Arabidopsis thaliana: one gene and its partner. The protein of the gene in region 2 interacts with the protein of the main gene of each other region in a biochemical or structural test. Each region holds a gene or a part of one and is shown on either strand. Other genes may lie near its edges.

Region 1 (3,859 bases), on a different chromosome or scaffold from region 2:
CCAGTTGTCACTGCTTTCTCTTAATGGTTTTACGAGTCAAATGCAGGTATCTCTACTTCCTGGAGAAAGGAAACCAACAAGTAACAGGCGATACAATCAAGAGCTTAGCTGAATTAATCAAAAGCGAGACAAAGAAGGTTGAGTCAGGCGCAGAGCCATTCATAAATAGTACTCTACGTTACATCGAGTTTCAGAGACAGCAAGAAGATGGTGGCATGAATGAGAAATACGAGAAAATCAAAATGGAATGGTTTGAATGAATTTATTTCTTGCATTCTGTTAGGCAAATCATCAATAATCAATGGCTTCTCGTCTTGTTGCAGAAGCATGAAGAGTAATCTTGAGAAATAAAACTTGTATCATTACTTTTCATTTCCTAGTTACACTCTCTACCAATAAACATGTTTGCAAAGTTTAAAACAGTAACATACAAAATATGGTCAGCTGAAGAAATGGTGGGAATGAAAACTGATTCAAAACATGTGGTGTTTGTGTGGAATTATGCATAGGACTGAATCGTAGAAGCAAAAGAAACGTTGATTCCGACAAACTCCATTAATATTAAGAACAAAAAGGACCAGTCAAACTTGGGTGTCTGTCCATTAACACATTGATTCATTCATTGTTAGAAGATTAATATACCAAAACCAAATACATAAAAACAGAGATTTCCAATCATCATAGAATGGAGCATGCCTTCTGCGCTTTGCTCTTCTTCTTCTTCTGCTTTGGCGGTTGCAACACCACTCGGATGGCTGCGTCAAACACCGCCTTCACATTCTGCACTCTCACATCATCAACATTAGCATTAACATTAACATTAGAAATCTGCAACAAGGGTATATATACTAATCTACGTACCTCTTGAGTTTTGGAACTGCATTCGATGTAAGTAGGTGCTCCTATTTGCTTCCTCAGCTCCTCTCCCTGAGCAGTAGTAATCGGAACAGCACCAGGATGGTCGATAAAGAACTGTTTATCATCTCGAAGATCTGGAGAGCAAAAACACAAACTCAGTCACAACTAATAAAGTAAAAGGAGCGAGATCAGGAAAAAACAATGGAAAACTCACCAAGCTTTGTTCCAACAAGGACGATGGGGACACCAGGCGCGTAATGTTTCAACTCCGGGATCCACTGCAAACACAATTTGTGACAAGAGTTCAAAAAATGTGACGAAAACTCAATAATATGAAACAAGATTGATGGATTTTTAAAACCTTTTTGGAGACGTTTTCATAACTGGCTTTACTGATAAGAGAGAAGGCCAAAATGAAAACATCTGCTCCACGGTAACTCAGTGGTCTTAATCTATTGTAATCCTCTTGCCCTGTTTATTCATACCCAAATTTTCAAAATCTTCAGATCCAAAAACCATATTCCAAATTTCAAACACCAAGATATATAGGAAAATGAAAAACCTGCAGTGTCCCACAATCCAAGATTCACAGTGCTTCCATTAACCACAACATTGGCACTGAAATTATCGAAAACGGTAGGCACATAATCCTGTATATCCACAAAAGAAACAAGAAACATGAGATATGTTGTTGTTGTGGTAATGAAACAAGAAACATGAAAGAATAATTGGGACATAACCGTAGGGAAAGTGTTGCTTGTGTAAGAAATCAACAAACAAGTTTTTCCGACAGCTCCATCACCAACCGTCACGCACTTTACGAACCTCGAAGCGCTCATTTCCCCTCAAAGTTTATTAATTTCAGGGAAATTTATAAAAAAAAAGATCTCAAAGATTTAGCCTTTGGAATTGGAGACTCTTGATATTTCTATTGATCGACCATCTGGGCATTGCGGATTCGAAACGATTGGAGTTTGTCCCAGAGATTAGAAACCCTATTACCCAAAAAGATAGAGGGGAAACAAAAAAAATGAAAACTGGAAGATGGCACAAAAACCGAAAAAAAACAAAGAGTTAGTTAGAGTTAGCTTTGGCCGGGAAAAATGGCGTTGAAACGTTCCGCTAACCAAACTTGTCTTTCTATTTCCGATTATTGTGGATTTCCTCTTTTAATAGCTCCCAACTAATCAAAATTACCAATCGATTGTGTGTTTATTTATGGGAAATCAAATTAGGCACTTGTCTTTTTCTGCCGCTCAAACGAATCATCTCTCTTTTCTTCTGTTACGTACACATCACGAGTGTTTGATTATCATTAAACTTGCTTACTTCTTTAAGCAATCCCCTTAACTACCTCACTAACTAACTAACTAACACTTCTCCAATGTTAATAATACCTTGGTAGGTCACCTTCCAATGATTTGACTTGGCTAAGAAGTAGTTGAATTGATGAAGTTTCAAGCAGTGATTCAATGAAAAGTCATTTAACCAATTTCATTTCGAAAACAGCATAAACTCAACCTAACATTCAACCAAAAGATTAGCTTGGATCAAGCAAAAACAGAGAGCAAATGGTAAAACAATTTGTCTTTCTCTCTTTAAGGAAGCAACCTCTTAACCTCCTCTTGATCCTCACCGATGCTCTTAGCTTGGTTGTACACAGACTCAAAGGCTTGCATACACACACTTGAAAACCCAACCATTGCCTGAAAGACATGAGGGAAACCCATCTGCAAGTTATTTAGAGTCATGGCTCTAGTCACACTCACTGACTTCTCATGCTTACTTTTCTCTTCTTCTGCTTTTCCTTTTAGCATCTCAACCTTTACTCTCTTCTCTATCACCGGGTTCTTTTTCCTACTCTCAGGTACCGAGTATGGACTATACTTGCTCTCAAGCGCTCTCAGCGAAGCCGATTTCTTCTCGAAATCTTTTAACATGGATTCTGTTCTCTTCTTTTGCTTATGCTCGTCGGCTTGTTGAGCCACAATTCCATGGACTGCTGTCAGAAAGCTTTTGATCCCTTCAGATGCTACTTTATCAGGGATCCTGTCAATAGCTAAATGCCATTCCTCGCAGAAGCTGTAGATCTTTGACTCGTAGCTACTCCTAACAAGTGGATTCTTGCTGAACTGGAACAGACTTAACCTGAGCCAGCCCGTGAGAGATTGTATGTAGTCACGTTGGGCCTTGACCAAGTTGCAGAAAGAGTGATGCCATTGTTGGACCTCGAGCTCAAGCTGAAGAGTTGATTGTCGGTGAAGCTCAGATGTTGGTTCAGTGGAGGGGATGGTGTTAAGGTACTTAAGCTGCTGCACAATATGGGTTTGAACCTGGTGGCTCTCGTACATACTCCTCCACATACACATTAGCCTACATTACATTCATACAAGAACCTTGTTCACATTGACCAACATAAGATACTTTAGGTTAATGAAGCAATGGGAATGCACAAAACAAACCCTTTAACAAGCTCGACAAGCTGAGGGTAAAGCTCGGTCTCTCTGAGCTTGATGATCTCGTTAGAGGCGCTTTGGATGGCTTGTGAAGATACTGAGAGCTGAGATTCTAACTTCTCGACGTCTTTCTTAGCCTTCTCAGTCTTGACATACTCAGCTCTCTTCATCTCAAGCCTCCTCACTTGCTCCACTTTCTTCTCATGATCCATCTTTATGCTCTCTGCATACTGCAACAAAACCCACATTCAAAAAACAACAAACACTCACTCACTACTTGGCAAGATATTTGTGCCAGTGTACATAACACATTATTCATCAGAATTAAGTACACACGTGGGTCTCTTACACTATCTGCTCACGCTTGGACCCACCACAAGCCTTTAATGCCCACATGAATCAACCAAATTCCCAAAAACAAAACATTTATCCATATTTGGATGAAATCTAAGCAAGCAATTTCAATATTCAAACTTCAAACTGAATATAAACAACATTTTCAAACTCTTTCCACAAAACTTAACATATGAAGATACATCAAAGAT
Region 2 (4,455 bases):
AAGCGGTTAAAGCTTTAGCTCACTAATCTCTCTATATATACCAAAAGCCGGTTTGTTAATTGTTTTGTGGTTGACGCCCAATTTACACTTTCTTGCGGATATCATTTCCTCAAACAGATCAATAATGAACTGGTCTCCTTTTTTTGTGTGATCCATCCAAAGAGATTCAAATCAGAATTCTCAATATCTTTTTGTATTTAACCAACTCATATGGTTGATACTAGGGTTTCAAGTTTATCTCATACGTACTGTTCCTATCATGAATAAAAATCGTTTTTGTGGGAAGCCACACTATAGCTGTCACTGAAACAACAAAATTAATCCCTCTCTCTACAAAAGGCTTTCACAAAACAGAGCTGTCCTCTGTTTCCAATTTAACGGTCAAAACGATAAACTTATTTTTTGATAGAATGTTAATTATATTACCAAAAGGAAAGAAGATTATTTACAAAAACTTTTGACCAGGATTGCAGCTCCATTGTTGTAGTGATGCAGCTCTATTGCTGAGGGCTATGATGAAGAGGAAAATCACACTAACACTACTCAGCTCTTGTCCAAGAAGTTTTTATTCATATATAGGGTTTCTAGTAAAGTGAAAGATGCTGTTGATTTGTTCTGTAAGAATGCTCTTTTATATTTATGATCGACGTCAATGATGATCTATGTTCAAGTGATTTGGATGATAGCACCGAAAAATATTTGTCTAAATTCTCCTTGCATAGTTAATAATAGTACAAGAATGAACAAGAAAATCTAACAATTGGTGTGTTGTGTTCAATGAAAATTAGCCATTTGGAGCTAGCAGCAAAGTCTCTATATATGTCGTCTCTCCTTTCAAAAATCATCTCTATTGTCGAATTGAGGCATAGATCTCACAGAACCAGTCTCAGACATATATTCCGACATGTTATCGACATCAGATCTTCTTGTCGATCTTGATGACCCTCCATTAACCGCGGTTTCTTTCGTCGACTTCTTCTTCCTCCTAGATTTCTTTGGAATTTCCGGTAATCCACTAGGCCAAGAAGACAACTCGTCTTGTTCTTCAGTGGCTTCCTTTGGTCTCCTCGACGATGACGATGTCCCTTTGTTAGAAGAGCGACGTTTAGTTTTGTCTGATGATTTGTCTTTTGTCGGAGAACCTTTCTCGGACGCTGCTTTCCTCGTAGATTTTGGTAGGTTTGGCAAATCTCTAGACCGACCACCATATTCCGACATACATTTTATGGAGGAATCATCTTCTCCGACTCCTTCAGCAGATTCGAATCCCCCGCCGGAGTTGAACTCAGTCATCTTTCAAATCACATAACATTAACCAAATCAATTCGACATTTTCTGAAAACGTTTTAGGTCAAATTTTTAATATATATGACCTCGTAGATTTGAGTCAAGTATTAATCTAGAGCTCACATCCATCCAAATATGCGTAGGATAATAAAACAATCTTTCATTTGCCTATTTTATCACGATTATTGTTTACGCCTTTTAAGAATTACCAAAGAAGTAGAAAAGAGTAAAAACATACCCAGCTTGGTGCGGTGGCATTAGCGGATGGTCCATCCCAACCGATATGGGCAACATGTTTTACGTCCGTTGGATTTCCGATTTGTATTTCTTCTTCTTTTTCACTTTCTATCATCATTAAAAGAAAGAAACAAGAAAGTATAATCAATCATTTAGATTCATCCTCAATCCATATAAACGTACTTGCAATGCATGCATGCAAATTTTCTACGTGATTTGCATCATAGTAATTCAAAACTGATCATGAAGTTCGAGTTTTTATATAAGGAAAAAAGGATTTATCATATGTATAAACTCTTATGCGAACAAAAATCAGAAGAAATTAAACAAGAGATCTATAGGGTGAACTTACCAAATACTTGAGAAATGTATCGGAGCCCTTTCAAGAGGCTTTTCATCTTGGAGCTTGACATTGTGAGTTGCATAGATCTCTTTTTAGGTTTATGATTTCTTTTTTAAATAAGAAAAATGGGAGTACAGAAGAACAAAATGATAGGTTTTGAAAACTCACTTTTCCCAGAAAATAAGAAAGTGGTGGCAGTAAATATTGAGGAAACAAAATGATAGATAAAAAAAATTGTGTATATAGTCAAGACTCCAAAATATTGTTCAGAGAGAAACAAGAATTCATCTCAGAAAATTGTAGGTTTATCTTTCTGCAGATTCTTCTATATATCAAAAAGAACAAATTGATAATCCTAATAAGAAAAGATTTAAGAATACATAAACAAAATTCCTTTGAAATTTACCTACAAAATCCTCAGAGTACTCCAAGAGGAAAAAAAAAGCATCAAACGAAGAAACTAAGAATCAAAAATGAAGGAAACTAAGAAGATGTTTGTTTGAATGATGGGTTGAGAGCGTATACAGGTGATACGGCAAAAAAAGAGTGCAAAAATGTTTGTTTAAACCAAAATTTTCGTTAATCTGATGGTTACAATTTGTTTATCTATTACTATCAGAAATCAATCAAAAATTAGAATTAGTATATAGAAATTACGTTATTCTGTTCCATCAAATGAATAATCATTAACATTAATTTTCTTTTGTCTCTCTCTGTTTTTTTTTTTCTTTTCCAAATCTTAGTAAACTTCAATGTATGTAGAGAATGTGTTAATTAAACTCTTAAATTAATTTAGAAAATGGTACAAAAACATGAATTTTCTTTTATTCTCACACATAGATCACATAAATTAATAAATGTGTGAATTATATGCTGTAACACAATTTTTTTTGACGAAAATATTCTCTCAATTTTTGTATGTCTCTATGTCATTTGCTATTAGCAAATAAAAATATTAATTTACTTTAATTAAAAAATAATCATTATATACATTTAACGATTTTTCTTAAGATTATACATTCATGCAAAACAGAAAAATGTGAAAAAGAAATATCACCAAGAGTCAAATAATGTAAGGAGAGGTTAGTGGCCCGTACGTAGTTCATTCGTATAACTGAAAAACGGCACACATTTTACCACAAAATACATAGAACATCAGAAAATGAACAAATTAAAAAAAAAAAAAAAAATTATTCAGCAGAGGATTCTCATCAATCTCCTTCCAGAACCTTTCAAGAAAATTTCTGGCCGGCAATGAACAATCTTCTGATCAAAAACTGTATTAGTATATGTTTGATATATAAAGTCGTCGAGTAGAAGTTTTGAGCAAATCTTTATTGCTTATTACTATTAGCCTGCAAGAAACACACAACAACACCATCTGCATTAGTATAACTGTATATCATATTATATCTTCCCCAAGTTATAGTGATAGTGAAAGAAACCTTTTTCAGGAATTTTTCATGGATCTTCAACGCTTCTTTACATGCTTTTTTGGCGTCAAGATTACCCGCAATGTCTCCTAGTATCTGCATACCAACTTTAACTTTGAAGTTCCAGAGTTTGATTTTTCCTTGTTTGGCTTTGAGAGAAACGAGTGAAAAGATACAGAGACAGACCTGAACAACATCGTCTAAGCCTTTGGCCTCCTTCAAGAGACGTTTGTTCTTTGTCTGTAGAACGCTTGCGACCACAAAAACAGCAAGCGTGTTGCGATGTTGCTCGTTCTGCCCACTGTTTATGTATTTCCTTTCAAACTTGCCATACCGTTTTAGTAACTTGGGATCGGATGCTGCGTTGTTTCGGTTTTCTAGTTCCTCGTACGTTGCAAACATGGTTGGATTGTACTCCATCGCCCACATCAGCTGCAACCATAATCCATCTCACATTATTCTCATTACCCAAACAGCAGATAACGCAAAAAAGAAGAAGATAATAAACACACAGCAAGATCTTACGGCTTCATAAACAATCACGGCAAGTAAAACCAGGAACCAAGAAAAGAAATGCAGAAAGTTTGTCATTACCTCCCAAAGGTACAAAGCGTCAAGGAAAGAGAATTCTCTCCTGAAAAGTACCATCAGCATCCGAATAGCAAATAGATACTCCCCACCATCGAGATCCTCTGTCACATTAACACGTTTTAGCCCACCACAAGAAGAGTTTTTATGATAGGAAAACACTCTTACCTAGATGTTGATGGAGACGAGGATCCACTGTCTTAATGACCTGTGAGAGCACACCCAGTTGAGTCTGGACACCCATTGATGTTGCTGTTGCCCTGAAATTTTCTCTCTGAAATTCAAAGAAAACAATAAACCGTGAATACAATGGTCTGGTAATGACATGAAACATGAGAAGTTATGTCATAGGCTATTAGTTATTACTAGTCTCCGCATTGCCCGCTCAAAGCACCAGAAAGCGTCGCCTTCATCATCAAAGAGGATTATCATTGGGGAACATATATCATTCATTCCTACATGAATAGACAAAGTGGATCAGTTCTGTTTCTTATATAGTTTCAAAAGATTAATCGTTAACAGCAAGTACACTTACCCTGAACATAACCAATATCAAGATTCAACCAC

Evidence for each region.
Region 1: the proteins of RIC6 (region 2) and ROP1 form a complex in vitro, tested with the Arabidopsis thaliana proteins (one study listed by BioGRID).

Annotation. Positions count from the first base shown.
Region 1 is NC_003074.8:19,041,035-19,044,893, reverse strand, and holds ROP1 (RHO-related protein from plants 1), read right to left. Parts: upstream 2,037-3,859; 5' UTR 1,698-2,036; coding exon 1,599-1,697; intron 1,509-1,598; coding exon 1,421-1,508; intron 1,330-1,420; coding exon 1,220-1,329; intron 1,137-1,219; coding exon 1,073-1,136; intron 993-1,072; coding exon 862-992; intron 781-861; coding exon 679-780; 3' UTR 501-678; downstream 1-500. Other genes in the region: VPS35C (VPS35 homolog C), read left to right, coding at 47-260; AT3G51290 (pyridoxal-phosphate-dependent serine hydroxymethyltransferase, putative (DUF632)), read right to left, coding at 679-780, 862-992, 1,073-1,136, 1,220-1,329, 1,421-1,508, 2,478-3,231, 3,321-3,544. UniProt on the Arabidopsis thaliana protein: May be involved in cell polarity control during the actin-dependent tip growth of pollen tubes. May regulate callose synthase 1 (CALS1) activity through the interaction with UGT1.
Region 2 is NC_003071.7:8,807,833-8,812,287, forward strand, and holds RIC6 (ROP-interactive CRIB motif-containing protein 6), read right to left. Parts: upstream 2,369-4,455; 5' UTR 1,950-2,368; coding exon 1,877-1,949; intron 1,633-1,876; coding exon 1,526-1,632; exon of another isoform or gene 1,338-1,525; intron 1,294-1,337; coding exon 835-1,293; 3' UTR 582-834; downstream 1-581. Other genes in the region: AT2G20420 (ATP citrate lyase (ACL) family protein), read left to right, coding at 1-26; AT2G20440 (Ypt/Rab-GAP domain of gyp1p superfamily protein), read right to left, coding at 3,202-3,222, 3,313-3,396, 3,487-3,732, 3,895-3,992, 4,057-4,162, 4,255-4,343, 4,424-4,455. UniProt on the Arabidopsis thaliana protein: Functions as a downstream effector of Rho-related GTP binding proteins of the 'Rho of Plants' (ROPs) family. Participates in the propagation of ROP GTPase signals in specific cellular responses.